3 linked regions of the Alligator mississippiensis genome follow. The protein of the gene in region 1 purifies or fractionates together with the protein of each later gene. This does not show direct contact. Links are inferred from orthologs where the notes say so. Each region holds a gene or a part of one and is shown in the gene's direction. Other genes may lie near its edges.

Region 1 (10,900 bases):
CTGACACTGAAGGAGGACAGAGTGCACTGCGCATCTCCTGATGGGGGAGACTGTCAAGGGGTGAAGTTATACTTTTCTTTGACCATACTAAAGGCACTTAAAATGCAAGTGTCTGCACATTAAAGTTTGTTAACTCATGCTAGGTGCCCTCTGAGCATCTCAACCCTTGCCTGATGTGACACAATTTTAACTCTGGACTGTGCTACCTAGCTCGTGTTAGACTAACTTTAGTTTGCTTGTTTCATGTCTGTGCAGCAATATGCAGTCCTCCACCATCCCAAGATGCACCACATTCAGCACCCTCCTCTTTCTCCACCCAGAGCAGGGACAGTCCCCTGTATCTTGGCTCCTAGCCACACCCCTGCTCACCAGTTCTCTAGGGGCAAGTCAGAGCTGTACAGTTAAGAAATGGTGTTAACCCTTAACATGTGACTGCTCACAGCAAGTTCTAATGTTAATGCTGCTTAACATTCCACAAATTTAGTATGGTCTAAACGTAATGTATGCCTTCATCCTTAAGCCTTAGAGTCAAATCCTTCTACTAGCCACCCTTTGAAAGATGACACCTCGAAGTCAGCCCTAGGCTGTCTGAATTAAACCTAGACTTCTAAATCTAAAAACCTGACTTAAGATATTTAAGTGTTTTAGATCAAAGGTTCTAGAAACAGCTGTTCCAGCATGGTTTGGTGGTCTGAGCCAACCAAGGATGATGCATTACGTGAAGGTGTTTTTGTTCTATAAGATTTGTAGCCAAAGCCATGAATGTATTAAGAGACTCTCCCTCTCCACTCACTTCTGCCATTGTTTTGTTGTTTGTTGTCTAGTTTTTGCCAGTGTTGCTCCATTGACTTTATTAGACCTATTCATGATTTATACCAATAGAGATCAGAGCAGTACCAGGCCTTTTGATTCTAAATGTCTTTGATATTCCCACAGACATTATAAAAGTTTTGTTTAAGGCTGTCAAATATAATTTGCTTTGCAAAACTATTCCAAGAACTCAGTGAAGTAATTATCCATATTACATAGATTTCATAGACATTAGGGCTGGAAGGGACCTCGGAAGATCATCGAGTCCAGCCCCCTGCCCAAAGGGCAGGAAGTCAGCTGGGGTCATAGGATCCCAGCAAGATAAGCATTCAGTTTGCTCTTGAAGGTGTTCAATGTAGGCGCTTGAACCACCTCCGGTGGCAGGCTGTTCCAGACCTTGGGGGCTCGGACAGTAAAGAAATTCTTCCTTATGTCCAGCCTGAAACAGTCTTGTAGTAGTTTATGGCCATTCGACCTAGTCGTCATCCCTTGGGGCGCTCTGGTGAACAAACGTTCCCCCAGATACTGGTGGTCACCCCTGATAAACTTATAGGTGGCCATCAGATCACCCCTGAGCCTGCGCTTTTCCAGGCTAAAGAGCCCCAGGGCTCTCAGCCTGTCATCATAGGGTCTGCTTCCCTGACCTCTGATCATGCGCGTGGCTCTTCTCTGGACTCTCTCAAGCTTCTCCACATCCTTTTTGAATTGTGGAGCCCAAAACTGGACGCAGTACTTCAGCTGCGGCCTCACCAAGGCCGAGTACAAGGGGAGAATGACGTCCTGGGATTTGCTTGAGAAGCATCTATGGATGCAAGCCATAGATATTAGTCTGAAGTCAGGCGGAAGGCAGGGTAGAGATATACCTTGCAGACTAACTGGAGTACTGTGTCCAGGGTTGGGGCCCCACACTTCAAGAAGAATGTGGGCAGATCTGAAGGACTGTAGCAGAGAGTGACAAAAATGGTTAGAAGCCTGGGAAGCATGACTTATGAGTAGGGCCTACTGAAATTCTGGTTTCATGGATTTTGCAGAAACTGCAAAGTCTGGGATTGTCTGTGAAGTCAACAACAACAAAAAAATAATAAAAATAAAATGCTGGTTCCCTACCTCACTGCCACTGTGGTCCAGCTTTGCAGTCCGCCCAGAAAAGGAAGATGCCAGCTGTCGGGGTAGCATGAAGGACAACAGAAAAGATGGCCACAGCACCTTCAATGTCCCCCCACCCCAGTTCTAGTGCTGCTTAAGCCCATGCTCAGGTATGGGCATCACCCCAAGCCAGCACCATTGAACTGTGATCCTGAGTTCCACACAGCTGGAGCTGTCCTTCGCTCCAGGACAGCCCTCCCCCTCACTCTCCAGAACCCAGGCCTGACCCCCAGCAGCCTGGGGCTGGTGCCAGGGGAGGCTGGAGCCTCCCCTACCCAGCTCCTGCAGAGGGGCAGAGCAGGGCAGGAGTAGCCCTGGACTCAAATGCTCCTATTGAGAGCAATTTTGCTCCCGACACTGTGTGCACGTGTAGACATGCACCCTGGAGCACTTTAATGAACCTGAATCTTCTGTGCAGAAAATTCAAATGCATTAACCGCATGTGTAGATGTGCCCAGTAAGGACAGTGTCAATGAAGGGAGAACTGGTATGGTAACAATAGGGACCCTCAATATTTACTTTGAATATGTCTAAGGAGAGGGGTCAGGAATGCTATGCTTTTGTTACTACATCGTGTACACTAACATTGTGTTCACTAACATTTTCAATATTTTCTTTACAACCATAAGAACTAGATAATTTAACTATCATTTTAAAAAACTGACATGTGACATAAGGATCTGGGGCTTTAAGGCCAATTAAGTGAGGCTGAAATTCTTCCTTTTAATATATAGGCCTCTGTAAGGGTAAGAGTTGGGCATTACAGTCCAATATGCCTCTCTTTTACTTCCTTGATGTTCTAACCCTGTGACTGTTCTTTATAGTAAAAATAAGGGAAGAATTCAGAAGAGGGAGATAGACAGGCAGGATTCCTATCTGTGCAACCCTGAAACTTTCCACTGAGATGTCCAACAAAGAAGCTGATCGGACCAGGGTTGGGGGGGAAAAAAAGGAGTCAAGGATCCCAGTCGCATAATTTAGATACAAGACTATTTCTCCTGTACTAAATAAGAGTAAAAAGATCCTGATTATTTGTGGCCTTTTCAGAGGCTTCTCTCACCACCCATGAATTTTAGGTATGAACTCAAATTTTTGTGGGCAGAACTGGAAATCTGATGGCAAAACCTTGTAGTGCAGATTACATCTAAGTAGTCAAGGAAGAACCTGCTGACTACAAAGTATAATTTGCGATGATGGACTATGATAATCCAATGTCACCATATTATTGTGCAACCTCAGGTTGTCATAATGTTATTTGGTAGTTCTGTGTAGCTCCATCCATGTAGGATTCCTCATACTGGTAAGACCAAAGAACTAAAAAAAAAAAAAATAGCCAGTGTGACAAGACTATGAGTAGAAGAGAGAGGTCTGTGCGCATAACAACGTTCAGTCAATATATGCCCAAGGTAGAGGGAAGTAATTGTGCACCTTCAGCCAGAAAAACAGGATCCGGTTACTGCTGAAGTTTCAAGATTGGTCAGAGTAACTTGCTTGGTTTTTTTCATATGAAACCTTCTTGCTGCAAGCTGTTAATGAGTCATCTTCCTCCAGGGCACAAAGCATGTCATCTACTTCTACACAAGTCGCAGTGAATCCGTCTTCAGCCAATCAAAGAGGTGGAAACAGGTGGCCAGGGCGTATTGGGGGCCTAATTTCTCCTTACCCTCAGAGTTTTTTTCAAGTTAAGCATTTCTTAGCCCAATCTGAGAACAGGAAATTGCGGAGACTGACTTATCTCTGCTATCACAACTGTGAATAAGTGTATTTGTCTATGTAATCTAGAAGCTGAAAAGTATATTAACTCTTTGTCTGTCCTTAATAGGGAGAATCAGCAAGAGGATTTTAAATGTATTACTAACTCATGCTGTTCAAAAGCTTAATCTCTCTCTTCATGAAAGCACAACCATCCATCTGAGCATCTCAAGTACACCCCACATGGAAGCGGCATTTGTGTGCCACCACCTTTCATTTTTTTTCCTCCCTTTGACTGCCTTAGTTTGTGGTAGTTCAGAAAATCCCTAGGTGATACATGTACATTTCCTAAAGTAATGTTGGTGGAAATTTAACAACAGAGATCTTCCATTACCTTTTCCCTGTATGTTTCTGCCTGTATGCTGCCCTATAAGCAGCTGGCTCTTGACTGGTAGGATTGTAACTGAGCAATGGCCACCATAAGACTTCGTAGGCTAATATAAAGAGGGGGAACTTGGATCCTGCTTGTTCACACGCATTTCAAGCACATCAGTTTAAGGATAATTTACTTGGAAAAGGATTAAGGTGTATAAATCTGACATTACTTACAGTAGATGGCAGTATTGTACTCACCACAGCCAATTATAAGCCTTTCACAAAATGGAATACAGCTGTTTGAGGATATATTTGGCCACTAATTCTGAAACCAATTCTGAATTCAAAAAGATCTATTTATATATCTATAGGCTGCTGTCTTTTAAAATGACACCAACTACATTTAAAATTAGTGGAGAAATGGCAGAGCATTAGGGAAAGAAACTATGTAGTGAAGTCAACACAAGTTGGCAAGAGTTAAGGACTGAGAGAAAATTGTAGATGTTGGTCCACAGATGGGTGGAAGCCTCAATTCATAATTCCAACAGAACTTGTAAAGAATAATTTGTGGATGTCAGAACTAATACCTTCCACAGAGATCTGCTTTCTCTGCCTTTTTGTATGGACTAATTTCACTAAATTAAATGTTGTTTGCAGTCCCTAGGTTTTCATATGCCAAATTAAGAGTTTTGAATTCAGCCTGAAAACTGGAAGCAGGGAGGAAAGCAGGAAGAACAAAACTTCTATGGATCCAACAATACCATGGGAGCCCAGACCAAGTGTTCAGGGCATAGTTGATTAATGTTTAGAGCTTTAATCTTCCCTGGTAAACTTTGTAGTGCTTTTTCAGCTAAACCAGAAGGGTGGCAGGGGGGGAAAAATGAGCATAAACACAGCCTTTTTCCATGTCCCTTTCCAGTGGCTTTAGAGCAGGAGGGAGAAACTAATAGCCCATGTTAGGCAGAGACTACTAACAAGGCTTCAGACTTGGGAAACAGCCAACAATGCCGCATCATCGCCCTGGAAGTGAGCTTGGGCGTGGGAGGAGAGGCTCAAGTCATGCAAAGAGTGCCTGGTGGGGAAAAAGCATTGGTGCTCTTTATGAAGAAAAAACAGAGGCGTTGAAGGGGAATCAGCAGGATCAAGATGGGGAGTGGAGTGGGAGCCCTGTGATGGGAGTGCCTGTTTGGGGACCTGGGAGTCAGGTTGCGGTTTTTCTTCTATGCCTTTTGGCTCAGATCTCAGGTTCTTGTGGGCCAGGATCAAGTGGGGGCACCCGAATCCCAAGACCTCTGGGCTTGGGCATGCATGGAGGATGCCTGCCAATGGATTTGGGAGTATCTGAATTCCCAGGGTGAGAGGCTGGGATGGAGGATGCTGGCAGGTTGTAGCGCCCTGCATGGGGTGGAGAACAACTGAGTTCTGCCTGCTCAGTCAATACGGTTTTTGGAGCGATACATGATTTGGGACTGGTTTCTTTGATCTGACCTGGAACAAGAAATATATTATTAATAATAATAATAATAATAATAAAATCCTCTGCCTTGCACTTGCCTTCCCTTGGCTTTGCGGAGGAGAAAAGCCACTGGGGAGCCCCAGTCGGGTGTTGCTGATATTTGCTGAGGAGGTGGGAGCAGGACAGGGAAGCGGGGGGCTGCCCTGCGTGCACGGCCCAGGGCAGGTTCCGGGGCACCAGAGGCCACATCCCCCACAGCAGGGGCGAGGCAGGAACTGCGCGGGCGTTGGCTGCGCGTCCAGCTGCCACTGCGAGCCGCGCTCGAGGCCGGAAGGTCCGGGCGCCTGTGGCGGGAAAGGGCTGGGATCACCCAACAGCCGTGGAACGGGCAGCCCCACACTGCGTATGCGCCAACCCTAGACCCGGGGATGAGGAGCATCCGAGCGTACGGACTGGCACCCCTTAAGCAGCCCGGTCACGCCGCGCATGCACAATACAACAAGTTTGGTAACACCCACCCAGCTCCGGGGGAAGGGGGAAAGAAAAGGGTTTGCAGAAAGCCTCGCCCACTTCTGGGAAAACAGAGGCGCTTCTCGGCCAATCATCGGAGAGAGAAGAGGCGGTGGGCGGGCGGTGGTTCTGTCTTCAGACAGTTGCGAGCGCTGCTGGCCGGGAAAGGTGCGCTGATTGGTTGCTGGCTTGGAAGGGCTAGGGATACAGGGGTGGGGTCTCCTCGCTGCCGTGGCTTGCGGCGTGCGCCCATTGGTTGGCGGGGGCCGGGGTGTGTGCTGCCCGGCCGGCCTGGGCGCCTCAGAGTGTCGGAGGACGGGGAGCGGCGCGGGCCGGAGCGGAGCGGCAGGTGGGTGCGGCCGGGGGGCTGGGGTCGGGACCGGGGTCGGGGCGTCGGACCCCCTCACGTCTGACCTCCATCCCCCCGCCGGGAGCCGGGGACCGGCGGCGGACGAGGTGCCGGGTTCCTCACCGAACACATCCGGCGGCCCCGCCGCGTGGGGGACACGAGTTTCTGCCAGCGCCGCTCCCAGCGGCACCGGCCCAGCGGGAGGGAGCACCGCGCCGCGCCTCTCGGCCTTTCCCTGGGGGCCGCCTGCGCGGCCGCACCTGCCGGCCGGCCGGCCGGCCGGCCCACCCGCGCTCGGCGAAAGGCAGGGGACAGCGGCACCTTGCACACTGACGGCAGCGTGTGGGGTGGTAGTCGTACACCCACCATGCCACATGCACATATACACACAACCTTCTGCCTATGTGTACGCACACACCCACATATGCACATGTACAAAATCACAACCATGCGGTGGCGTGTGTGAACAGCCTTGCATGCCTGTGTGTGTGTGTGTGTGTGTGTGTGTGTGTGTGCACGTATACAATCGCAGCTTTACATGTGTGTGCTTGTGTACACACGTATCTGGTCATGTGCACACATGTGGTCATGTGTGGATGTAGATTTGTGTGGTCACCAGTGTGCGTGTGTGGAGATGTGTGGTCACAAGTGTGCATATGTGCACAGAGTCATAAAATCTCAAGCTTTCTTGAGGTGATGCTCACTGTATCCAAAGCTGCAGAATGCTGCTTTCTGCACCAGTTGCACAGAAGTTAAATTCTTTTAGCAGCAGCATTTTGAGGGATACTGCTAGGAAAATGACTGCTTGGTCCAGGCAGTGTTCTGGAGAGTGGCAGGCTTCTAAATAGTTTGCAGGGGTGTGTGTGTGGACACCAGGTGTTTCCTTAATGTGCTGTGTTGGATTGTGATCGTTCCTTACATTCTAGCACCAAGGTCACATTTATTTCATGGAAATGTGTTGTTGTACTTCTGAATGACCCCGCAAGTTTTGTCTAATATGTATTTTAAGCCTAGATGATGGAGCCTTGAATTTACTTCAGCTGAGCTGTGCTTTTTTTTCCTTTTTCTCTGTTCTGGTGAGATCGTCAGAGGAGATCAAAAGAGATGTTTTTAGCTTAGATGTTGTTTTGCTGCTAGTAAGCAAACTTTCCTTTTTGGTTTTTGAAATAACTAATTTCCTGCCTGCTTTCTGTCTAAGGCAGAGTGCATTAAAGAAGCACTTCAGATAAGAGATTAAGTTGCAGACTTTGCTGTTTTGATTGGGTGTTGCTAGGCACAGATTTACAAAGTTATTCATTACAGTGGGGAGAGAGAGAATGAGGCAGTTAAGACCTTGGGATCAGTTGATCAAAATATAAAAGTGAATAAGATCTGTAGTCAGTTAAACTGTCTTTGTACTCGGTTCTCATTTGACCATATCACTTTTTCTTTTAAACAATTTTTGGCAAAATGTTCTAGTACTTCTGGACTGGTTAAGTTACTGCAGTGGGTGTTCTCAGATGCTTCCTGTCTGCTGCTTTTTGATATTAGTTGAACTGAAAACATATGTACATAGTACCCTGCTGTGTACATCAGAAATGGCATCATGAAATTGGCATGCATAAATAACTTTCAGATTGCTTTTTATGGGTCTTTTTTATGAGTTGGACACTGCAGATGGGAATTAAAATCCTGATTCAAGGTATTGAGCATTGAAGTGCTATAAATGTTCATAGCACCATCTAGCTGGCCTAAAACTAATGACTTTGCAATGAATATGTTTTGAATTAGTCATCAGTTATTAACTATATTAAATGTTAGCTTTCTTTTGGGGAAAATAAAGATTCTAAAAAAAAAAAATGTACTGTGTGACCGGAAATATAGGTAACTTGAAATCATGTTTATAGTACATCAGGAGTCCTTTTAAGTGTGTGTGTGTGTGTGTGTGTGTGGAACTGAATGAAAACCTCTAGGAACATGTGGGAGATGATTCAAAGCCTATTGAGATTATTAGGCAGACAAGGTTCTTTGGGTAAATGTGATATCTTTTACCCTCTGCCTGAAGAAGGATGTTTGTACCCAAAAGCTTGCAAAGAAGAATTTTCCCAACTATTTTAATTGGTCTAATACAAGATATCAGCTTTACCCAAAGAACCTTGTCTGCCTATATCCTTAGATCAATATGGCTACAACCAACACCCTTGAAACATTGAGATTATTAGGCATTTTGAAGGGAAAGAGCATTGGATTCAAGCTGTACAGCAGCTTCATGAGAGGGCGAGTCCTTTCGTCTTAAGATTGTTGGACTGCTTGCTTTTTGTATTTTGGCATGTTGGTAACATGATGGATAACCTGGAAGTGACTAGATGAATCTAAAAGTTGAATTTGTAGATGGTACATCATTTAAAATGGTTAGCATTTGACTAATAGTAATTTCCTAAGATTAAACAGTGAAACTGAGCAGTTCAGTTTCACTTTCTGGTTCTCATACCTCACTGCAATAATGTTTGGGTTCACAAGACTGAAGGGGAATAGTTAAACGAAGCTTATGTGTGAAGTTGAGTAAAACCATTTAAGTGAAAACTGATGTCCTGCTGATGTTACTTGATATTTTAGTGTAAGGGTAGATGGCCTAATGGCCTTGGAGTTTACAGTATTTTGTAATATTTGGCAATAGCTGTGTCCTGTCTACCCAAACAACATTGCATTGTTAAAAAGCTGTTCTGCTACATGGTTCATGTAGAACCTAACTGGGCAGCATCCTTCAAATGCTCTTTTATTTTAAGTTAGGGAAGTGATATTCATGAGTCAATTCCCTGTAAAAGTGCTTTGGGGTGGGGTGGGGTGAGGGTGGGGGGTGGGGAGAGGATGGAATCAAGCTGTTGTATCTATTAATGTGCCCTGAAGGCTGCTGGGGTAGTATAGAAAACTAAATGTGTCTAGACTGAAGCTGTTTTCAGTTAAGTTTGTAGCTTCTATAGTATTTATTTTCAGGATGAGTGACAGGCATTACACAGTTTATTTTTGCATTTACCTGAATTCATTTAAATTGTCTCAATGTCACGTCCAGTTCAATACTAGGAAAAGAACACTGTTATGGAAATTATGTGGTGAAAGAAGAGTTTAAGTGTCTGTCTAAAGATATGTGCAAGGACTTTTAAGTGTTAGTGGAATATTTTTTTTAAATCTAATCAAATATTTCCTTGAAGATGTGGAACCAAAACCATACAATAGTAGTACATGAGAACGGAAAAAGACTAAACCAGTTACATTTCACAATAACAAAGCTAATAGAAGTAAAGTAATAAAAATGGGGAAAAAAACAGACTGAAAATTCTTTTTGGTTTTAATAGTTGCAGCTATTAACATAAGTAAAATGATCTGAAGACTAATAGTGACCCTTTTAAAATATGAGTAGTCTTTTGTCAAGCATGCTTTGTACAGGAGTACTTGACAATGCATGGAAGTCCAGGTTAGAATCAGATAAGGTTTTGTAGATACTCCTAAGATTTTAATACTTTTCAGGAGAATGTTCTCTGTCTTCTAAATGTTTTAATTCATGCTTAGACAAACTGAAGCTCCTCTTTGCTGGCTCTGCAATAGTTGGTAACCAGAGCTATGCTGCCCCATGGTCTGCCCTGAACTAACAGGGAAGAAAACGGAACCATTTTAATTTCAGTTCTGTTTGAAACATGGGCAGTGGAGGAAGTCTGGGTGTGTACCAGCTAAATGGAAGATGGTAGAGAAATGGGTCACTCGCTTCCAAGAAGGAAGGCTTGAGGTGAAACCTTAAGAACTAATTGGATATTGAGAGGACTGTTTGTATATAGGGAAATCAGTGTCTTTTAGCTTTGTACAAATTTCTCAACACTTCAAGGCCTTATCTACAGATTCCAGAGAGAACTTTAATGCAGTTGTGAACAAGTGTTATTCTCCTGGTGGTTGGTAGAAGGTTTCAGACAAGCTCAGACCCTTTTTTACTATCATGTTGTCTAACCCTGCAGACACCTGAGCCTCAGTTGCTTTTAGCTTCCACTGGTGAAGTGTGTTTTCTGGCAATTCAAGGTCCCCAAAAGACTTAGGGTTTAGACCAAGTCTAGAAGGAAGAATGTATCATTCTCTGTTGCTATGATGATTGAATTCCCGACCCCCTCCTGCCGTTGTGAAACTTTTTTTTTTTTTTCCTTGGTGACCAGATATTGGTTAGAAAATATTACTAAGGCTTTAAATGTATAAAGCAGTTGCAAGAGCTATGGCTGACCTGTGTGAAATGCATTGTTCAGAAGAGTTCTTTTGATAAAAAATCAAGACACTGTTAGAGGAAACACTGATGTGTGCTTCAAACTGATGGGCAATCTGAAACTGCTCCTGAACATTATATTTGTTGATTTCTTCTTGTAGGCTTAAAACACTCACAGAAAATGACAGTTGTAAGGGACTTCAGGAGGTCATCTAGTCCAACCCCCTGCTCAAGACAGGACCATCCCCAACTATACAATTCCAGCCAAGGCATTGTCTATCCAGGTTTTAAACCTCTAAAGATGGAGCTTTCACAACCTGTCTGGGTAACCTGTTCCAGTGCT
Region 2 (10,635 bases), on another chromosome or scaffold:
GCCCGCTCCCCTGGCAGGGGCCAGGAGCCAGGCGAGAGGAGGAAAGGCCATGTATGCTTCCAGCTGGCTCCAGCTGCTTGGCTGCCCATGCCACCCGCACCAGAGCCATCTGGATGCAGGCCAGCAGCGCTGAGACCGGCTCCATGCAGCCCTCGGCCTCCAGGCTAAGATGGGACACAGGGAGATTAGATGATATAGGTGTATCAATGCTCCATGCCCTTGCTGCAAGCTGCCCGGAAGAAGGGCAGTCGTGTGCAACTCAGCGAATGGACCAGCAGGCACCTGGCAACCGCAGACAGGCTGATGGGCAGTGGAGCAGCCCCAGGAGCTGGCCTGCCCCAGTCCATGGCTCCCAGGCACATACCTGTCATATTGAATGAAATAGTTTAAATGTCTGTAATGGTTGCCCATTAGCCAGTTTAGGAAGAAGACAAGATTTATCTCCTTATCTAGGCCATTGTTTTGGTCTACGTGAGAAAGATCCTGACTTTGCTCAAAGTCTTAACTCTTGAATTTTATCTTCAGAGGGTTTTTACAAAGTTAACCTAAAAATGACCCTTAAGCAAATATCCTGAGTTCCGAGAGATCAAACCCTAGGGCCTTTTGACAAGATTGGAAAGAAAAGGTCACTTGCAGTGGTATGGAAGTTCCCCAAAGTAATTAAAATGATCAACAAAAGAAACTAATTACCAAGTAAAAGAATCTGTAAAGTAAGATCCGAGCCAAATTTGGGAGTAATGACAGGTTTGGGTAGGAGTGGCCCAGGACAGCAACTCACTCAATAAAAACTGTAACCTACTCTCCCAAATTGGAGGTGACTATACTTGCAGAACAACGAAGGAAGAATTGCAAGTGTAGGCCGGATCAGACTGATCACCTGAACCACCCTCTCCATGAACACGAATCTCTTAGTTCATGCTGAAGCTGCAGAGCGCCCGAAAGGGACTGAAAGAAGGGGACTTAGTCCTATCAGTATTGAGGCCAGCCCATTGAATCGTATTGCTGAGGCCAGCCCATTGAACCGTACTACTGAGGCCAACCCATTAAATTGTACTACTGAGGAATGAAACCATATTTAGGTGTTTGGCTTCTCGGAATTCTAGGATTGTAAGTATATTATGAAAATAATAGTATTGATTCAAATTTAACTTTTAGTTGTAATTGTAGTTGTTTTTGTAATACTAATTCTTAGGAAGTTTGGGAAGGAAGTGCATTTGGAGCATTGTTTCTGATATATGTAATTATTGTGTTCTTAATGTTTGTGGTATTTCTTAAAGCTAAGCAGTGTTATATGCGTAGCAAAGAATTTTAAAATAAAATTGTGTTGTATGAATTAAGTGTGTAATCATTGTGGAATCGTGCGAGTAACTAACTACTCCCCCAGCCAGTGCATCAAAACGAATCAGTAAATTGTGTGGGATCTTCTCTATTCCATAACCCACTAGATACAATACCAGCTCATCTACTCCTGCCCTTAGCTGCCAAGCAGGCTCCATCCTCTCCTGTGGCGCTGCTGCATCGGCCTTCCCTGCCCCGTGCTGCTGGGACTCTTGCTTTCTCCTCCTGCTGACCAAACACCTTGCAGGTGCGGGCAGGGCCATAAGTGGGTGCACACAGCCTCCAAAGGACACTGATCACGGTCCTGGCCTCCAACACAAGCTGCCCCATCCCCTGCCACACCCCAGCCTCCACCCCATAGCGACTCCAGGGCTCCCAGCCTGCACCCCACCTCCACGCCAACACTCCCAGCCTCCTACATGCAGCCCCTGTCCCTGCACCCCAGCATCCCTGCCTGTATGGGTGAAGGGCAGGCCCCCGACATGGGCCCAGATGGCCCATTCAGTGCCAAGGCTCAATGGTTTGGACCCACTGGCCTTTCCCGGCATCAGCCCAGCTAAGGCCTCTCCCTGCCCAAAGGGTGGGGGTCACTCTTACCTTGGTCCCAGGGCTCCTACAGGAAGGACCTGACTAGAATTGGCTTCTCACTTGGGCCCACAGGGGTCTGACCTGAGCCCCCAGTCTTTGCATGCCCCACTTCCTGGGGCCATCTGGCTCCCCGGCCCAGAGCTTACCCCCACTCCTGGGAAGGCCCCAGGGCTACCAAGGGGCCAGGGGCAGTGTGACTGCCTCTGCTCCTGGGGCTCTGAAGGCCACCTCTGCCCCCACCCCAGGGCAGGCCAGGGCCTGGTCGCTCTGCAGGCTCACAAGCAGAGTATGTCCATGGCTCCACTGCAGCCCAGACCCAGGCTGCCCCAGCAATGCCTCCTGGGCTGGGGCCAGGGGAGCCCTGCGCATGGCAGAGGACCCAGCAGGGCAGCTCATCTCTGGACGTAGGGCACCCAGAGCAGCAGGATGGAGCTGATGTACAGGGAACTTAGAGCAGAGTTGCATGCCGGTGGCTGAGGGAAGCTGCCTGCACAGTGCCACTGGGGTCAGGAGAGAGCCTGGTGCTGAGTACGGGCCACGCAGGCCTGGCCTGGCAGCCTCCAGAGACCGGAATGAGGCAGAGACAGTGAGTGTTAGGTCAGGGGGAGCAGTAGCAGGACCAGCTGTGCCCAGGGGTTCTCTGCACGTGGCCCAGGCCAGAAGGTGTGCAGGGCACACAAATAAAAGGGGAAAGAAAGTGTGATGTCAGCGCGGGGAGAGCATGTGGAGACAGACAGAGCAAGACTTGTGGCAGCAAGGCGCTGAGTATGGGCAGCGTGGGGGGCTCCTACATGTTTGCCCTGTACTGAGAGCAGTGCTGTGCTGGGTGGGGGGTGGTGCCAGGGCCAGGTTCAGGCCCAAGCAGGGCACTCCCTTGAGCAAGGGCAGCTGCACAGATGTTTGCTGAGGGAAACTGATGAGAAGTGGGTACCACGGACTGTACTGAGCTTTGGGTGTTTGGGTTTGGCATCTCATTGGCTTTAGACTTAGATGGCCAGTGAATGTGCTCTCTTGTTAAACTTCAGACCAAAAAGAAGGTGGTTTTCCCAGGGTGGAATTCACTGTTCAGACTGCCCGGTCATGCTATACAGGGGACCTGGGGGCAGAGGAGGCCAAAGGCAAATGGAAACAAAAAGGCTAGTGATCGCTATTTAAGAACAATTAAAACTATGCCTGTTTTGTATGGAAGCTGGCTGCAGTGTGACATGGCCCTGAGATCAAGAGCTGTGTGAACACGATTGTTCTTTTCCTTCCCGTTAGGAAGACTAGTGGACATGAAATGCTGAGGAGGGACTTGGCTTTGTTCTGAAGCATCTGTGGTGGAAAGCAGTGTTCCAGCAACGGGATTGTTGGAGCAACAAAGTGCGAGAAATGTGTTTACACTTTGGTACAATTGTAGCAGAAAGCCCCCTTTTCCTCTTGCCTGCATTTGCTCTCCCCTCTTTAAATATGTTTTTCCTCTTCTACCTTTTCTTCCTTCCTCTTTCTTTCACTTTAAGATAAGGAATTGTGTTTTAAAATTTGTATGTGTGCATTTTGTATCACCCTGTGTATTTTGGTACTTTTATCTATTTGTGTGCCATGGCATTGCTTCTGTAGCTTGTATTTTATACTCCTCACCTTTCAACTTTCAACTAAATGTGTTTAGTTTCATAAGTAAGTTATACATTGTAACAATGTTAACAAGGGCAGGAAACAAACTGCCCTTCCCTGTATCAGGCTGGCCCCTGAAAGAGTGAGTGAATCAGTGATTGAATGTGTAACATGGTAGCAGGCAGCCATTAACACCTAGGAAACTGCAGATCAACCAACTGAAGAACTCAATAGAAGACAATGTAACAACCGGGAAATCTCTAAACGTCACTGATCAAGGGCTAGAAGCCCTGGCCTGAGTTATTCAATGCCGGGGACCAACTTTTGGGCTGAATATCTCCAGATCGACCACTCCCAGAGCCCTATTCAAAATTCATCAATGGACTCCCAAACCTGCACGTACATGTGGATGACCCCGGGGGCTGACAGATGTCATCCAGTAGCCACCGAGGGGGGAAGTCCCATGAGGGTCAATGACCCCTGGATTGGGCAAACCTGAAAACTGGGGAGTCACCAAAGTCTGCCAAGGACAGATAAAAAGCAGTGAAAAGTGACCCTCAGCAGCACCCTCTTGATTTCCAACTCGACCAGCACCTGACCTGTCCAGCCAGAAGGACCAGCCGGCAACCCCCTTCTGGAGGATAACACCAAGCTGAAAGAAGCCTTGACTGGCCATTGACGGCAGACTCCAGCACTTGTAGGATAGGTATACCTGACTCTGTAGCTTGCTACTGTGTGTGTGTGGGGGGGGGGGGGACCAGCCCCAAGGTTTATGATTTAACTCATTACAGTGTTTCAATCCGCCTAATAAACCAGAATTTTAAGGATCCTGAGTTGGACATTTGTAGCCAACACAATAATCGTCATCATCACAATAATACTAACAATACTACCAATAACAAAGTGGTGTTTCCCCAGGGTGAGGCTCACCCCTTGCACTTCAGGTGTGCTGACCCCTGGGATTTCCCCACACAGGAAACTCGACTGCACAATTTGTGGCAGTGCGGGACTGCATTCGTGCTCTCCCTGGCTTGCCTGCAGACAGGCTCTTCTGTGACTGCAGACATCTGGGAGGCAAAGGAAGAGGAAGGCTGTGTTAGGGTGGGTGTGCAGGTTGGCTGGAGCAACCTGTCCCGGGTGCCCTGGTGCTCTCTTACCGGCTGCGTGCTGCTGCAGCAGGGGCATCCTCCAGCAAGCAAGTGCGGCCAAGTCCTCTGGGTGCTGCAACTGGGGTGCCTGGCGACATGGGCCATGCAGGTGTGTGGTGTAGCGTGCTCCCAGCTCCAGCCCTCAAGGGTAGCCTGTGTCTTTCCTGCAGTGGCTGTGGCATGGCACTTTGTGACCCCTTTGGAAAGGAATACGTGGACCAATGGCTGGAAGTTGCAGCAAGGTAGGTTTACATTGGAGATCCAGGAACACGTCTTCCCCATCAGAGCAGGGGAGGACTTCCCACCAGCGGAGATGTCAAGGAGAGGCTGGATGGGCACTGGTCCAGGAGGATCTAGGCCCAGCAATGCCTGTGCTCTGCTGTGGTGGTGTCCCGGGCTTCTGGGCTGTGCTGATTGCCCCCACCCCCCTTTCTGCTCCATGTGTCAGGTTTTGAAGCCTCTCCCAGAGGCGCTGGGGATGGGGCTGGGCCGTGCCAATGCTCCTGTTGGCTCCAACCCGGCAGAGTGCTGGCTGGAGGGTCTTGCCCCCACGCTCAGGCTGAGTCCCAGCTGCACTGGGGCAAGGAGGGATTTCCCCCCTGCTTGGGGGGTGCCTTCTTCTGCAAGGTCTGACTTGTCTGGACTGGGCTACCCTCGGACTAGGGGCAGGGCTCGAACTGTGCGGGGAGGGAGTGCAAAACAATTGGCTGCCCTTCACGAAGCTCTGATAAAATCGGAGACCCCGCTCACATTTTCAAATCTTACAGGGGGCTGTTGTCTCTTTCGGGGGGCTCAGCCCCCGCAGCTGCCCCGCCATTCGAACCCTGACCGGGCCCCGGAGACGCGCGCCGGCCCCGCGTGGGACCTGAGCCCGGCCGAGGCGCCTGCAGGCCTCCGCCGCGCCGCGGCACGCGCGAGGACAGGCCCGGGCCGGCCCAGCGGAGGCCCCGTGCGGCCGGGTGCCCGGCGCAGGCTCCCGAGACGGGCCGGGCCGGGCCGGCCCCGCAGGCCTCTCCCCGCCCGGGCGGCGCGCGCCGGAGGCTCCGGGGCGGGGCGGGGCGGGGCGAGGGAGGCCGGCGCTGCGGAGCCCACCCCGGCGCTGTCGCGACTCCGCCCCGGATCCGGCCCCTCGGCTGACGCGGCCCCGCCGCCCGCCTGCGCCGCGCTCGGCCCCGCCGCCGCCACCGCCACCGCCCCCGCCCGTCCGCCGCGCACGTGGCCCGCGCCCCGGTGCCTCCGCGTGCTGCCAGGCCGGGCCATGGGCTCTCTGGTGCTGGAGGACGGCGCTGTGCTGCGCGGCCGACCCTTCGGGGCCCCGGGCTCGGCCGCCGGCGAAGTGGGTGAGTGCGGGGCGGGGCGGGGGTCCTGGGCTCTGCCCGTGGCCCACCGGAGCGGGGACCCGCGGCACGTGGGGCCGCCCGGCCCGGCCCGTTCCCGCTGCCCCCGCGGGTGGGGGCGGGGGCTGGGCTGGGCCCCGGGGCCGCTGCCCGGCTGTGCCGCCCCGGGGAGCCGCTGACGCCGCCCCGCCCCCCCGCAGTGTTCCAGACCGGCATGGTGGGCTACCCCGAGGCCCTGACCGACCCCTCCTACAAGTCCCAGGTCCTGGTGCTGACCTACCCCCTCGTGGGCAACTACGGCGTCCCGCAGGATGAGCCCGACCCGCTCGGCCTCAGCCGGGTGAGTGCCGGGGGTGCTGGCGGGGGCCGCAGAGCCAGCCAGGCCCGGGCTGCTGGCAGCCGGCGGCAGGCTGGCATCGGCTCTGCTGTGAATTTGGCCGGAGCAGCCCGGACTCCCGTGGGCCCCGGCGACTGTCCAGCTTGGCAGGGCTGTCCTCCAGGGCTGGCCAGAGGGGCACAGCTGGGTCTGCGGCCGCTGGGAAAAGACGCTGCGTGCTGGGGCTGGCTGGCTGGCAGGGTTGCCGTTCAGCCCTGGGCCAGGGCAGGGCCCCTCTGCTGTGCTGTGGGTGCTGCCTTGCCTCGTGGCGCCAGGCAGTGCCTCTCCCCTTAGGGAGCCAGCCTTGAATCTGCAGCCCTGGGCGGCTGCATACTAGCCATGCCACCTGTCGGGCTGCGTTAGCATCGCTGCCCAGGAGCCAGCGTGTGCCAGGACTGCTGGCTCCCCTGGGGCTTTGCATCAGCACAGCTCTGCCATGAGTTGGCAGGGAGCCCGTGCCCATGCAGCCTCTTGCAGGCCTGCACAGGGGGCCCACAGGGCTGCCAGGAGGAGTTCCAGCCTGTCCTCCCTAAGTAGCTGGGCCAGGGGTGTCTCTGGCTCCCTGGAGGCATCTTGGGGGCCATGTCCAGTCCTTCATTGTTGCAGGACACTTGCCAGTAAGGAGTCCCAGGGTCAGAGTCCAGCCTTGCTATTGCCGGCAGGTGCCCTGTCGCCCCCCCCCCCACGTGGATCCAGCTCTGTCCTGACTGGTCCTGCAGGGCAGCTGGCCTAACCCCTCTCCACCCTGCTCTAGGTCCTCTGCTCAAGTCTGGCCTTGGGGGTGTTCCTGGCCATATGTCCCCCTTGCCCATGTGTCAGCCCCGTCCTTCAGCTTAGCTGGTTCTCTCTACAGTAAATGCATGCTCCTTGGCTGTGATGTCCCTGGCCTGGGCCCAATGGGTTTCCTAGCCCCTCACTGGCGTGTCCTGGGTCACACCTGCCCTCTTCATGCTGGTGGCATGTTACACATTGGTGCACCCAGGGATGCCACCACCAGCACCTCTGCCCTCTCCAAGGGCCTCTTTTTTCCTCCTGCCTTGGCTGATTCTGGGCAGTAGGAAAGCCTGAGCATGCCCCTCCAGGGTGCCAGGGTCCCTTCCTGGGCCCCATATGGGAGAGGGCCAGGCCCCAGTGTCTGCTGCACCCTGAGAATGGGGCACGCACAGTTCTGCAGCCTTTTGCCCCAGGGCAGCTCCCTGCTCCCCCAGGCCCTGCTCCCCACCCTGCTCACCCCACCTCTGCACACAGTGGTTCGAGTCCAGCAAGATCCATGTCGCAGCACTCATCGTGGGCGAGTGCTCCCAGGTTTGCAGCCACTGGAGCGCGGCCCTCTCCCTGGACCAGTGGCTGAAGGAGCAGAACATCCCCGGCCTGGAAGGTGGGCCTGGGCAGGGGGTGGGGTGCGGTGGGGTGGGGCCTACAGAGAGCTCTGGTGCTAATGCCCATTGCTCCCAGGGGTGGACACCCGTGCACTGACAAAGCGAATCCGGGAGAAGGGGACGCTGCTGGGGAAGCTGGTGCCAGATGGGACCCCTGAGAAGAGCCTGCCCTTCGAGGATCCCAACACGCGGCACCTGGTGCACGAGGTCTCCCTGAAGGTATGGCCAGGCCCTCTGCCCCGTGGAGGGGGTGGGGGCCAAGGGGAGGATAGGACAGTGCTGAGCACATGGGTGACAGAAGCGTCCTGGGCACTAGGTTGTTTCCCCACTCCCCTCCAGTCCTGCTGGTCTTGGGGGTCTCTGCCTGTGCCCTTCCTCCCCGCTGGCTCAGGAAGTGCTGTCAGCTTCAGGCTGGGGCCCATGCTCCTGTTGTCCTGGGTCAGCAGGGGCTTGCACCTGGCCTGATGGCCATGTGGCTGCTGGACTCTGACCCTCAAACCCCACAGGAGCCCCGAGTGTTCAACCCCAGCGGCTCGGTCCAGATCATGGCTGTGGACTGCGGCCTGAAGTACAACCAGGTGCGATGCCTGTGCCAGCGTGGAGCAGCCGTGACTGTGGTGCCCTGGGACCACCCCCTGGACAGTGCAGGTGCGTACGGGCCCCATCCAACTGGGATCAGAGGCGGTCAGTGGTAAGGCTGAGTGTGTGGGTATGAGGGCCAAGGTGCCAAGGGTGGAGCCAGCTGCATGTGCACAAGAGCAGGAGGCCTGGAGCTTGCCAGGGTGGGTTGAGGGACAGGAGGCACCTGGGGCTTGGAGCCCTGGTACAGTCACCCCAAATGGTGCTAGACCCAGTGACAAATCGTCTCAGCCATCAGTGCTGGGAGAGGGGGAAGGGGAGTTGGGGGTGTGCTGGGCAGGGCAGGGGCAGTGCCTGCTCCGACCATCCTTGTCCCTTAATCCTAACCCTTGCCCCACAGAGTTTGATGGGCTGTTCATTAGCAATGGCCCAGGAGACCCACAGCGCTGCCAGGAGACTATCGCTGGCCTGCGCCACGTGCTGGCTGCACCCCAGCCCAAGCCTGTCTTTGGCATCTGCCTGGGGCACCAGCTTCTCTCGCTGGCTGTGGGCGCCAAGACCTACAAGATGAAGTGAGTGTGGGGGAAGGGAGGCCTCAGCCACAGGGCCAGTTGGGCTGGGCTCCCAGCTCCTGGCACAGAGCTGTGGGGGGCTGGGGGCTCAGGGCTTTGCCCCAGCTGGGTCTGTGCCCATGGGAGTGGCCCTGAGCGCTGGCATGGAGCCCCCCCTCCCATGTCCCCTACAACCCCTCAGCCCAGTCCATGGGGTTTCCCGGGTCTCTCATGGGCCCAGAGAGGGGAAATTTCCTTCCTGCACCCCTAACCAGCTGCCTTCCTCTCATGCCCACTGGTGCTGCAGGAAGGCCCCTGCCTGGGGTGGGGATGGCCAATGTACCCCCACCCTCCTTAGCGTGAGCTCTGCAAGATGTGTCTGACCTGCCCTGCCATGTCCCACAGGTATGGGAACCGTGGACACAACCAGCCATGCATCCACGAGGACTCAAAGCGCTGCTTCATCACCTCGCAAAACCACGGCTTCGCAGTGGAGCCAGGCAGCCTGCCTGCTGGTTGGGCCCCGCTCTTCACTAACGCCAACGACCACTCCAATGAGGGCATTGTGCACAACACCAAGCCCTTCTTCAGGTGGGGAGACCGAGGGGGTGGGAATGGGCTGTGGGGCGGCTGCCACCCTGGCACTCCAGGCGAGGTCGGGCAGTGCTGGGGCTGTGCGAGGCTTCGGACTCTTCAGGGTCCGAAGCAGCACCTCCGGGTGGAAGCGCTGGCCTCGTTAGGCTTCCCGAAGCGGTTCGGAGCTCCCGAAGAGCTTCGGAGCCACCTCGGAGATCCAGCCATAGGGTATAATGGGGAAACAATAACATGTCTATAGCTTTGTTGTTTTTTATCCGATCTGGATGAAATTTTCAGGGGTGGTAGACTCTGCAGAGAGGATGAAGTCTGCTAAGTTTCAAGAAGATAGGTATAGGGGTGTGGGGGGAACAGCACCCCAAATGCTTGAAAGCAAAACTCATGTCATGTCTAGGCATTACCACATAGCAGGGTGAAAACTGCAGGAGTAGTAGCTCTTACTGAGGCCACAAAAACCTGCCAAGTTTCAAGAAGATCAGTGTAGGGGTTTGGGGGGAACTGCCCCTCAAGCTGCGGACAAGCAAAACTCATGCCATGGGTGCTTGTGGGACTGACTGTCTCTGGCTTGGGACGAGGAGGGGAGACATTGCTGCAGGCATGGCTGCTAAGCTGCTGTGTTACCAGTTACCAATCAATCAATCATGATTCACTCAGGGACCAGGGACTCGGGGACCAGTTCAATACACAGGACCTAGCTAGTACATAATGACTTAAGGAGCATTAATTAGCACCTACAAAACCAGGCTAAAGAGAAGAAAGAATCAATACAATCAACTGCCCCAAGACAAATGCAGTCTTGGCACAAGTTTTGCCTGTCAGCAGCTAGGGGTGCAGGGCCCCAGAACCCCCCTGCACCCATCTCGACAGCTGGCAGGTGTTGTGGCCTCAGCAGGGGCCACCATCCCTGCAGCTGTCACCCCACTGCGCCTGAACACATGCAGTGTTACCCATGGCACCACTTTTGCTTGTCTGCAGCTTGAGGTGTAGTTTCCCCCAAACCCTTGTACCTATCTCCTTGAAACTTGGCAGGCTTTGTGGCCTCAGTAAGAGCTACCAGCCCTGCAGTTTTGACCCCCCTGTGTTGTAACACACAGCCATGACATGAGTTTGGCTTTCAAGAATTTGGGGTACAATTCCCCCAAACCCCTACAC
Region 3 (10,112 bases), on another chromosome or scaffold:
TCCAGCCCCCTGCTCAAAGCAGGACCAGCCCCAACTAGATCATCCCAGCCAAAGCTTTGTCTAGGTGGGTCTTGAAAACCTCCATGGATGGAGATTCCACAACCTCTCTGGGTAACCTGTTCCAGTGTCTTACTACCCTCCTAGTGAGAAAATTATTCCTAATATTTAACCTAAGCTTCCCTTGCTGCAACTTCAGACTGTTGCTCCTTGTTCTGTCATCTGCCACCACTGAAAACAGTTTAGCTTCATCCTCTTGATGGAGTTATAACAGAATAATTATGCCATTCAATTTCCCAGTGCTGAATAGAGGGGAATTATCACTTCCCTTGACCTGCTGTCAATACTCCTGCTGATGCAGCCCAGGATGCCATTAGGCTTCTTTACAACAAGGGCACACTGTTGGCTCATATTCAGCTTATTGTCCACTGTAACCCTGAGGTCTTTTTCTGCAGAGCTGCTGCCCAGCCAGCCAGCCCCCAGCCTGTACCAGTACATGGGATTATTCTGTCCTAAATGCAGGACTTTGTACTTGTCCTTGTTGGACCGCATGAGATTTCTTTTGGCCCAATCCTCCAATTTGTCTAGGTCACTCTGAATCCTGGCCCTACACTCCAGTGTATCTGCCACTCCCCTCAGCCTTGTTGTCATCTACAGACTTGCTGTGGGTGCAGTCTATGCCATATTCCAGGTTGTTGATGAAGACATTGAACAAAACTGGCCCCAGGACCAACCCCTGGGGCACTCCACTTGATTCTGGCTACCAACTAGACATGGAGCCATTGATTACTAGTCTCTGAGCCTGATGCTCCAGTTTTTTTATCCACCTTACAGTCCATTCATCCAGCCCATACTTCCTTAGCTTGCCTGGAAGAATGCTGTGGGAGACCATATGAAAAGCCTTGCTAAAATCAAGGTATATCACATCTTCAGGTTTCCCCTGCATCCACAAAGCCAGTCACCGTGTCATAGAAGGCAATCAGATTGCCCTTGGTGAATCCATGCTGACTGGTCCTAATCACCTTCTCCTCCAAGTACTTTGAGATGGATTCCTTGAGGATCTGCTCCGGGGACTGAGGTGAGGCTGACTGGTCTATAGTTCCCTGGGTCCTCCTTTTTCCCTTTTTTTAAATATGGGCATTATATTTGCCCTTTTCCAGTTATCCAGGGCCTCTCCTAATCGCCATGAATTTTCAAAGTTGATGGCCAGTGGCTCTGCAATCACATCAGCCAACTCCCTCAGCATGCTTGGGTGCATCCCATCCGGCCCCATGGACCTGTATATGTGCAGCTTTTCTAAATAGTCCCTAATCTTATTTTGCCACTGTTGCCTGCTCACCTCCTCCCCAAATTGTGCTGCCTGGTGCAGTCATCTGGGAGCTGACCTTGCTTGAAGACTGAGGTGAAAAAGGCATTGAGCACTTCAGCCTTTTCTGCATCCTCTGTCACAAGGTTGCCTCCCGCATTCAGTAAGGGACCCACACTTTCCTTGATTCTCCTCTTGCTACTGACATACTTGTAGAAACCCTTCTTGTTACCCTTCAGGTCCCTTGTTAGCTGCAACTCCAGTTGCACTTTGGCCTTCCTGACTTCATCCCTGAAGTGATGAGCACCAGGACAAACCGTATCCAGTCCAGCTAAAAGAGAAAGTACAGGAACCCACAGAATGAGTTAAGATGGGGATTTGAATATTCTTTATACATGTAAAATAATATTTAAAACTTTGTATTGCTGTGTAAAGTCCCTTCCTGACACCTGATGGGGGGCCAGTAAGGGAGAGGCTTTTAGGCATCTTTTTCTCACAAGAGCTCAAAGTATCCTCTCTCATATTCTGCCTTCCTCTTTGCTAGTAGAAGTAGGGTTGGAGTGGTATTGTAGCCATGATGGTCCAGGAAATGTTAGAAGCAAGGGTTCTTTTTATGCTATTTTTATGGGGCAGCCATATAGTTGGGAGAGATGTGTGACAAGCTTTTGAGCAGAATATACCCTTCTTCAGGTCTGGCTTCTCTCACGGGAGGAGGATAGTGTTAGTTTGCTTGCCTTGTTGGCCACTTATTTCACTTAGTCTGTCTGAAGTCATTTTATTAGTCTGCCCATCTCATTTTGAAAGTAATCTTTAAATTAAAGGCATATCCATGCTGGATGCTGGCTTTCATTGCCACTGTTCCCAACCTCTGAGTGGAAGGGAAAAACGGTTGTATGGAATCCAGTGAGTGGAAGGTTACAGAGTAATTGCATTTCAAAGCATAGATTTCACTGAATGTGGAAATAAATTGTGCTGGAGATTTTTTTCTGTTGTCCAATTTCTAAAATGGCCTGGGAAACAGAATTTATTTGCCCTTCAGTATGTTTAGCTTTAAACCACTTGAAAATAATTTTACAGTGATTTTTTTTTTTTATATAAGACCATATTTACATGCAATTATTATTTGTAAACGTAATGCCTTTCCTGAAATGCTAAGGTCTAGAGAATAAAAAGATTTTTTAATTTTGAATCACTTAATTCAAAGAAGCACAATGCACTGTATGACTTTTTAGGGATTATTAAAAAAAAACACTTCAAAAGGTATAAAGAATCTTAATTCTTCCAAGGCTAAATCTGTTATCTGCTTCATTTAATTATTGCCCTGGATCTAGCCTGTGTAGGACTGACATTCAAATGGTTTAGGTAGCTGTGTAATTACACTAAAATTGCAAGCAATAAGCTATTTTGAACAAAGCTAAGAAGCTTTGCATTTGGACAGAATAACACTGTCATGTTTGAACCAGTGATGGGGTTTTTTGGGGCTCCTTTGACTTAATGCAACAGTTTCTTCTACTTCTTAACACAACATGTATTTAGCTTCAGTTCTAGGGTAATGGCCATCTTGACTATTACTTGTAAAATGGAGCTTTTCTTTTAAAGTGGATTACTGAGGTTCTTAATTATGAAAAAGTTCTGCAAATTGAAGTATATTAAAAACAATGGAAATTGATCTAAGCTTATAAAAACTATAAAATGATCTAGACTTTATCATTTCAAACACTTGTTTTGGTTCTGTTTTGTTTTAAGAATATGCATGCCAAATGTTTGTCTCTTTTGATGATTTGTAATATACATTTTTTTGACTGGAAACTTTTTTGTACAACACACTCCAATAAATGTTTTGCATTTTATTTGTCTCCTCCTTTTATTTAAAACAAACCAAATTCCAGTCAAAGGCTGAGAGAAATGTTGCATACCCAGGGATGTTGCATACCCATGTAGAGAGAGGATAAGGAGTGTCATCGTTGCTATTCTGTCTCCTAAGAAGATCTGGTGTGGTGCAGGGCAATAAATAAGCCCTTTTTATTTTGAAGCAAATATGCTGACCCTTACAGTCTTAATGGGTAAATGCTTAAGAAAAGCAAATATAGAGTTAGTGTGTCAGCCGCATTGCAGCTGAGGCTGGGATTTTAGTTGGTTTTTAGACCCTGCTTTAGAAACCAATTTTTGCTTTTCCGAGCCCCTTTTCCCAAAAAGACCAATAGTAGGATAATTGGGATTCTTAGCATTTATAGCTTCCCACCGACTAAGAATGGGGACTAAGCCACAAACTTTTTTCCTCATGCAGCCTTTGATGACTATCAGTCTAAGATGGGCTTAGATATCCAGCTGGTGATTTTTTTTTTTTTATCTCAACCAAATACTGTCCACTGGTTTATGGTTCTAGTTGCTGCATTTAAACTGAATAAAGTTGTTCCTGTTTACTTGGCAGTATTGGTTGGTTTAGAGGACACCACCTGCATTGAAGTCTCCTGAGTTATCACATTGGGTCTCTTAAGAAACATCTGTTCACAGTAAATGCTTAGCACCCGGTATCCCCAATGCATTTTCTGAACATAAGTGATCAATCCTCCCCTCTGGAGGTACGTGCACATCTTAATTTTCTAAGTGGGCAAACTGAACGAAAGGAACACACTTGAATTACTTTAGGTTTTTTTGAAAGCATTGTGACCTAGAGGGTAAAGCCCTGGGCTAGGACTACTGAACACATGGATCATGGTTTGGCCTTCTGAGTCATCTGTGGCCTCACCGATGATATCTCTGCTTATTGGAAGGCTGTTATTCTCGTATCGGGACTGCCAGCGACAAGAGCGCTGGACCGGGACTCGGCCTGAGTTCTGTTTGAAAGTCTGATGTATTGTAACCTTGAGTTTCTCCTGATCCCATCTGTTTATACCAGTTCCTGCAGCACCTGGATTTTTCTTGTAGATCTACCATTCAAATACTAAATGTGGCCCAGCAAATCTCATGTCTATTTTACATTGTATTTGCATAGTTGAAGCAATTGTGTATTTAAAAGTTCTGTTTCATACAGAAACCAGCTGTGGCTGATCCTTTTACAAGAACAGAGCAAAACAAAAATGAATGGTTAATTTGTAGCTTTTTGAGGGGCAGCTGATCACTTGATTTATAACTCAAATTAGTTGTAGACAAGGACAAATTTTAAGGGTTTGGAAATTGAAGGGTTGGGTTAAGCTTGCCACAATAATCTTTGTCTGTTGGTTTAATATCCCAGAGCGGGGAAGAACTAGCCAAAGTTCACCTAAAGCCTATTTTTTTTACTGCTCAGCTGGTAAAATAAAATAACTATCATCCTAGAAAGAGATTCATGGTGCCTGCAAAGAAGGAGACTGAGATATTGCCGTAATAACAAAGCTGTACCACAGCTAAGAACATTTCATTTTATTGTATTCGCTAAATGAAAGAAAAAGCGTGAGCCGGGCCCTCCAAAATAGCTCTGCCAGCAGCAGTAGGAAGTAGCCCTTGTGGAGGGCCAGCTCTAGCCACTTCAATCTTCAGGCCGTTTGCCGCGGTAGTGCTGGTGGGCCTTGCGTTTAGGGCACAATGATGAACAACATTAAAAGGAGCTGGGTAGGTGTGTGGGAGCCGTGGCAGACCTCCCGTGCTTGCGCATCTCTTGCTAGCGCGCCCGCAACTCCCCGGCACGGCCGCGGGGCCGCTCCTGCCCCGGCCTCCCGTGTGCGCGGCGTGCGGCAGGGGCGGCGCCCGGCCTGGTGGGACTCCAGCCCCTCGCGCAAGACCAGCGCCGCGCTTGTGGCTTATCGTGATTTATGTATGGACCGCGGAGCAATAACGGAGCTGTCCGGGGCGCGTGGGACTGCCTTGGAGCACTCCGCATCCCTGCCCGAGAGCTCCGCCTTCCTGCCGCCAGGGCCGCGGGGCCCCGCAGGGCGCGCCGGCTCCCGGGGGGCGGGGCGGGCTCCACGCCCCGGGGGCGGCGCTGCGGGCGGGGCCCGGCTGGAAGTGCCGGGCGGCGGCGCGGAGCAGGCCGGGAGCGGCGGGGACTGCGCCATGGCCGGCAAGTTCGGCTTGGACTTCATGGCCGGCGGCGGGAACGAGAAGCTGGACCCGGGGCTCGTCATGGAGCAGGTGAAGGTGCAGATCGCCGTGGCCAACGCGCAGGAGCTGCTGCAGGTCAGGAGAGGCGGGCGGGCCGGGGCCGGGGCCGGGGCCGGGGCGGCGGGGTGGGGTCGGGCCGGGCCGGCCCGGGGCACGTGGGCCGCGCCGCGCGCGCGTGCTCGTGCTGACCTGTGCTCTCCGCAGCGGATGACGGACAAGTGTTTCCGCAAGTGCATCGGGAAGCCGGGCAGCTCTCTGGACAACTCGGAGCAGGTGAGCTGGTGCCGCCCGCGCGGCCCGAGCCGGGAGAGGCCTGTGCAGCCGCCAGGACGTGCCCGGCACCAGGGCTCCGGCCCCCGGCAGCCTGGGGTCGCTCCTAGCCGCAGGGATGCCGGGGCCGGGCTCGCTCTCCTGGGGGGACGGGGCCTCGCAGGATTGTGTGCAGGGGTCGGGGCGTTATCTGCCGCGCAGCTCCTCCCTGAGCGCGCTGTGGCGCTGTCCCAAAGGGAACTGTTTCCGTCGCAGAGGTGGGGAGATGCAGGCCAGGCCAGGCCAGGCCAAGTACTACTTGCCTGAGGTCCCTGGGAGGGTCGGGGAGGGTCTAGCCCCTCGCCTCGTGCCCCACGCACCTCGCCTGCCTGCGCTGTCCCAGCGCACACAGCTCTGTTGCAGACGCCTCGGGTTGGCTGTTGCAGGGTGGGATGGATCTGCTGCTACTCCTTGTCCTTCCCATCTGCTGGGTGATCAACAGGGATCCTGCTTTTTCCTGATGATAAAAAAAAATCACAAATGCTCTGCTAAAACTTCTCAAATCCATGATTAAAATTAAAGGCCCCCACCCCTCCTACAGCCCTTCCCATACCCTGCTGGTGCCCCTGCTCCCCCAGCCCTGCCGGAGGGGGCCCCAGCTGCCAGGGCTACAGACCGGGGTCTACAGCCCCCTGCCCCTGCTCCCCCCCGCCGTGGGCTCAGGTGGGGCGGCTCCCCACTGCTGCATGCACTTCCAGGGGGCAGGAGGGACCTGCGCTCCCCCAGATCTGTACCTGGGGCAGGCATGGGCTGAAGCTGCTGCCCATCTGGATAGGGCTTGGGGTCCAGGGCTGCAGTGTGCGGCTGCAGGGCCCCACCCAGGAGCAGGACAGGGCTGCCCCCCTCCGCCCCCAAACAACTGCCTCCAGTGCCAGCTGCAGCTTTGGGGGGTGCAGCCCTGCACCGCTGCCCTCGCTGCATCCCCACGTGTAGGCGGCGGGGAAGCGAGAAGCAGCGAGCAAGTTTTCTGCGTGGTTTCTTGGCTCGCTGCCCTGCTCGATCAGCGGGGGAAGCAGGGTGGCAGGAAACAGTGGCGAGTAGGGGGTCTGCTATTCCCTGCTGTCCTGCTCCCCCCTTGCGACTGCGCAGCAGGGAGCAGAGTAGCCATGCAGAAAACCTCTCCGCTTCTCAAGCCCCACCCAACTGGGCAGCAGCCCCAGCCCTGCCTAGCTCCCTCCCTACAGGGGTTTCTATCCCCCTTTCCTCTCCCATCTTACCAGCGGGAGCTACTCTCAGGCTGCCTGGGACCACATGCATGTCTGTGCACATGACGCCCCCTGTCCTTCCACCTTCCTCCCACTCCCTCCCAGCTCCTTGCAAAATGGCATAATCTGTGGGTTTCTTGGGTAAAACGACAAATCTGCATTTGCCTCTGGTAGAAAGCAAAATCCGTGGTTTACTCCATTTTTCCATGGGAAATGGAAAACCCAGATCTCTGGTGATCAGGGGAAGTTGCTTGCTTGATTTGGATTTGTATCTGTCTGTTTCTCTCTCTTTAAAGTGTCTTTGCATTTGTGGGTGAAAAGTGCTGTGCAAGAGCTAAGTATTATTGTTATATTTCAGAAATGCATCGCCATGTGCATGGACCGGTACATGGATGCCTGGAACACAGTCTCACGAGCCTACAACTCCCGGTTGCAGAGGGAGAGAGCCAACATGTAATAGGCTTCCAGCAGGCCTGGTAACACCCTTCTGTACCCTCTTCTCTGCGAGAAGAGACCTGAATTCTGAATAAATAGAAATGGACCTTCTTAAAAATGAAAGGAATGACCAGTTTGGATTGTGGGACTGAAATATTTGTGATTTGGCAATTCCAGCTCTCATCCTGCCAGAGCATAAATCCCCATTGAACTGTTTATATTTTTACCCCATATTAATCTACTTGAGCTCACAAAGCCTGGGAGAAATCTGGCTGGACTGCCAGTTATTGCCATACTCTCTCCCAATGCTTGTGAGACTGCCAGGGGTTTGCTTTAAGAGCCTGGATGGACCCCCAGGACCTCTCTGGCACTGGTTAAGGAAAGAGCTACAAGGTGCATGGAATCCTTTGGGAAAGATAGGGCATTGAGCAACCCCCTTATGTGCCTTTCCCCAGGAAGCATGTGTGAGTCTGTATAACAGCTTTATCCTGCTGGTTTTAGCTGTGGGTTTGGTGCATCTGGTACGGAAGGTCAGTCGCAGTCCTAGGGACATAGTTTTAGTGGATTAAAAGAGGTTCTGAGTTTCTGTAAGTGAGGGTGGGAGGCCCATCTGGCCATTATACTGTTAAGTGCTGCAAACTGGCCTGTGGTGCAGGATGCTGGTAATGCTACATATACAGTGAGATTGTGCTATCCTTGCTGTACCCTCCTCATCAGCTGGAAGATGAATGTTTTGGACTTTGTGTCCCAATTTGCCCCTATAAGGAGTTCAAATTCTGGCTCCCGCCATCCTGTCCCAGACCCACATCAGTATTGTCATTTGTTTTATGAGACTGTCACTCTGTTTCCATGTGACCTGCTGGTTTCTTTCTGATATTGAGGAGACTGGTAGAAAATCCATAAAGAATATGAACAGGGAGCACAAACCTGCATGGAATTATGTGTAGTAAAGATTAAAGGAGCTGAATTCAGCTACCTAACTAATTGGGCCTTTGTGTGTTCCCTCTTGTTTCTTCTCTCTTTCTTTCCCATCTCTGAGCTGAGTTCTTCCCCTGCCACTCAAGAAGGGACAAATCCCTTATCTAGGTATATGATTAAATATCTGTGACCACTTAGCAGCTGGCAGTACCACTCGCACCAATTCCACTGGGCCCCTTGGGGAACCGACCAAGAGCAGGCTGGTTACATGAGGGCCGTATGCTCCAGGCCATAATCCCCAGAAGAACTTCACTGGCAATTGCAATTCCTAAAGTGCTCCCTTGCTCTTAACCACCGGCTTCTCTCAGACTGGTTGTTCTTTAGACTTGGTGAGTAATGGATCTTAAAGAGCATGGGGGCTGCTTGCAGAAAAAAACAAACACTTGACTGGAAGAAGCAGTCTTTGACCCAGCTCTGCAGTGTCGGTGAAGATCAGGTGCTTCAGCAGGACTTTCTGGCACTTTTCGCTAAAGCTGATACAGTTGATTATTAGATAAAAGTGCTAAAAAAGCCCTGCTAAAATGGCTGATCTTTACATGCATTGGGTGAGCTGGGTTGAAGTAACATGCTGCCTCTTCTGAGCCTGAGCTGGACTTGGTGTAGGAATGCACTGAGTTTAAAGCAGGATTGGGGTTTTTAAATTTATTTTTTGGGGGGGGTCTGCAAACACGCAAAGTGTTGTAATGTTAATCACCTGCCACCCAGTGAAATTCACTGCTGTGAGTTAGGCATCAAGCTTCCTTATACAATGTTGGAAGAAAGGCATGGTTGTAGCAGTGGGACTCGCAGCAGCCAGCCTGATGAACTGTCTATGCCACCTGGTTGGAAATGCTAATGAGAAGTGAGGTCTGTTCCTGAGAGGAGGTTAATGCCTAATTCTTCTTGGATCTGTAGCCACACACACCCTCTCCTGGATGCCTTGATCTTGAAAAACAACAAGATGTGTTACCACTACTACAGAATATTAAGAAACCCAGTTGTTAGAGCACTTGACTAGGAGATCTTACAGGCAATGTAAGATGATGAGGTTTGAGTTTCATCTCTGATTAGTTGCATGTGCACAGAGATGACTGCAGCAGGGTGCAGGGCCTGGATAAAGGGGTGGTGAGTGGCCGGATGCAAAGCCGGCTCAGCTCCGTTGGGCCCTCTGAAGTGCGGGACCTGGGGCAGTCACCTCAATTTGCCCGCCCCGCCCCCAGGATGGCCCTGCACATGCATAGGTCAACCTCTTTTACAAAAGAGGGTAGTGCCCTAATATAGCCTGTAGCCTGATTTTTTAGGGCACTCTTCAAACTATGTAGAGTGGAGATTTGAAAACAAGTTCCCCCCACTTCCAGGTAAGTGCCTTAGCCACTGTATACAATGCAGTATAAGGGTATGGCATGACAAGGCCCTGGAGAAGCTTCATGGCTGAGTGTCCCAAGCAGAAACAGTGGCTTCCCGCAGGCTAGAGTTAGGTATTTAAATACTGTATGTCCTCACATACAACATTATATTAACAAGCTAAATAAGTACAGACTAGAAAAAAGTACTGTAAGGTAGATACATAACTGGTTGAATCATTGTACTTGGTCAGTAGTCCTCAATAGCTCAGTGTCTAGTTGGGAGAGGTATCAAGTGGGATTTCCCTGGGGTCTGTCCTGAGTCTAATATTGGTCAGTGTCTTCATTCATGATTTGGATGATGGGATTGAGTGCAGGCTTAGCAAATGTGCAGATGACACTAAGTTGGGTGGAATTATGGACACTCAGGAGGGTAGGGCTAAGATCCAGAATGATCTGGATGGACTGGAGAAATGGTCT

Evidence for each region. The genes of interacting proteins can lie anywhere in the genome.
Region 2: the proteins of MAP3K14 (region 1) and CAD purify together in Homo sapiens (affinity purification with mass spectrometry; 3 studies listed by BioGRID and IntAct, with this or other methods). This does not show direct contact. The link is inferred for Alligator mississippiensis from reciprocal best matches to the Homo sapiens genes MAP3K14 and CAD.
Region 3: the proteins of MAP3K14 (region 1) and TIMM13 purify together in Homo sapiens (affinity purification with mass spectrometry; 3 studies listed by BioGRID and IntAct, with this or other methods). This does not show direct contact. The link is inferred for Alligator mississippiensis from reciprocal best matches to the Homo sapiens genes MAP3K14 and TIMM13.

Annotation. Positions count from the first base shown.
Region 1 is NC_081827.1:161,163,753-161,174,652, forward strand, and holds the start of MAP3K14 (mitogen-activated protein kinase kinase kinase 14), read left to right. Parts: upstream 1-6,245; 5' UTR 6,246-6,338; intron 6,339-10,900.
Region 2 is NC_081824.1:144,361-154,995, forward strand, and holds the start of CAD (CAD protein), read left to right. Parts: upstream 1-5,818; 5' UTR 5,819-5,925; coding exon 5,926-6,007; intron 6,008-6,204; coding exon 6,205-6,344; intron 6,345-7,628; coding exon 7,629-7,758; intron 7,759-7,835; coding exon 7,836-7,978; intron 7,979-8,265; coding exon 8,266-8,407; intron 8,408-8,738; coding exon 8,739-8,910; intron 8,911-9,294; coding exon 9,295-9,480; intron 9,481-10,635. UniProt on the Homo sapiens protein: Multifunctional protein that encodes the first 3 enzymatic activities of the de novo pyrimidine pathway: carbamoylphosphate synthetase (CPSase; EC 6.3.5.5), aspartate transcarbamylase (ATCase; EC 2.1.3.2) and dihydroorotase (DHOase; EC 3.5.2.3).
Region 3 is NC_081839.1:11,748,054-11,758,165, reverse strand, and holds TIMM13 (mitochondrial import inner membrane translocase subunit Tim13), read left to right. Parts: upstream 1-5,295; 5' UTR 5,296-5,335; coding exon 5,336-5,458; intron 5,459-5,587; coding exon 5,588-5,656; intron 5,657-7,255; coding exon 7,256-7,354; 3' UTR 7,355-8,316; downstream 8,317-10,112. UniProt on the Homo sapiens protein: Mitochondrial intermembrane chaperone that participates in the import and insertion of some multi-pass transmembrane proteins into the mitochondrial inner membrane.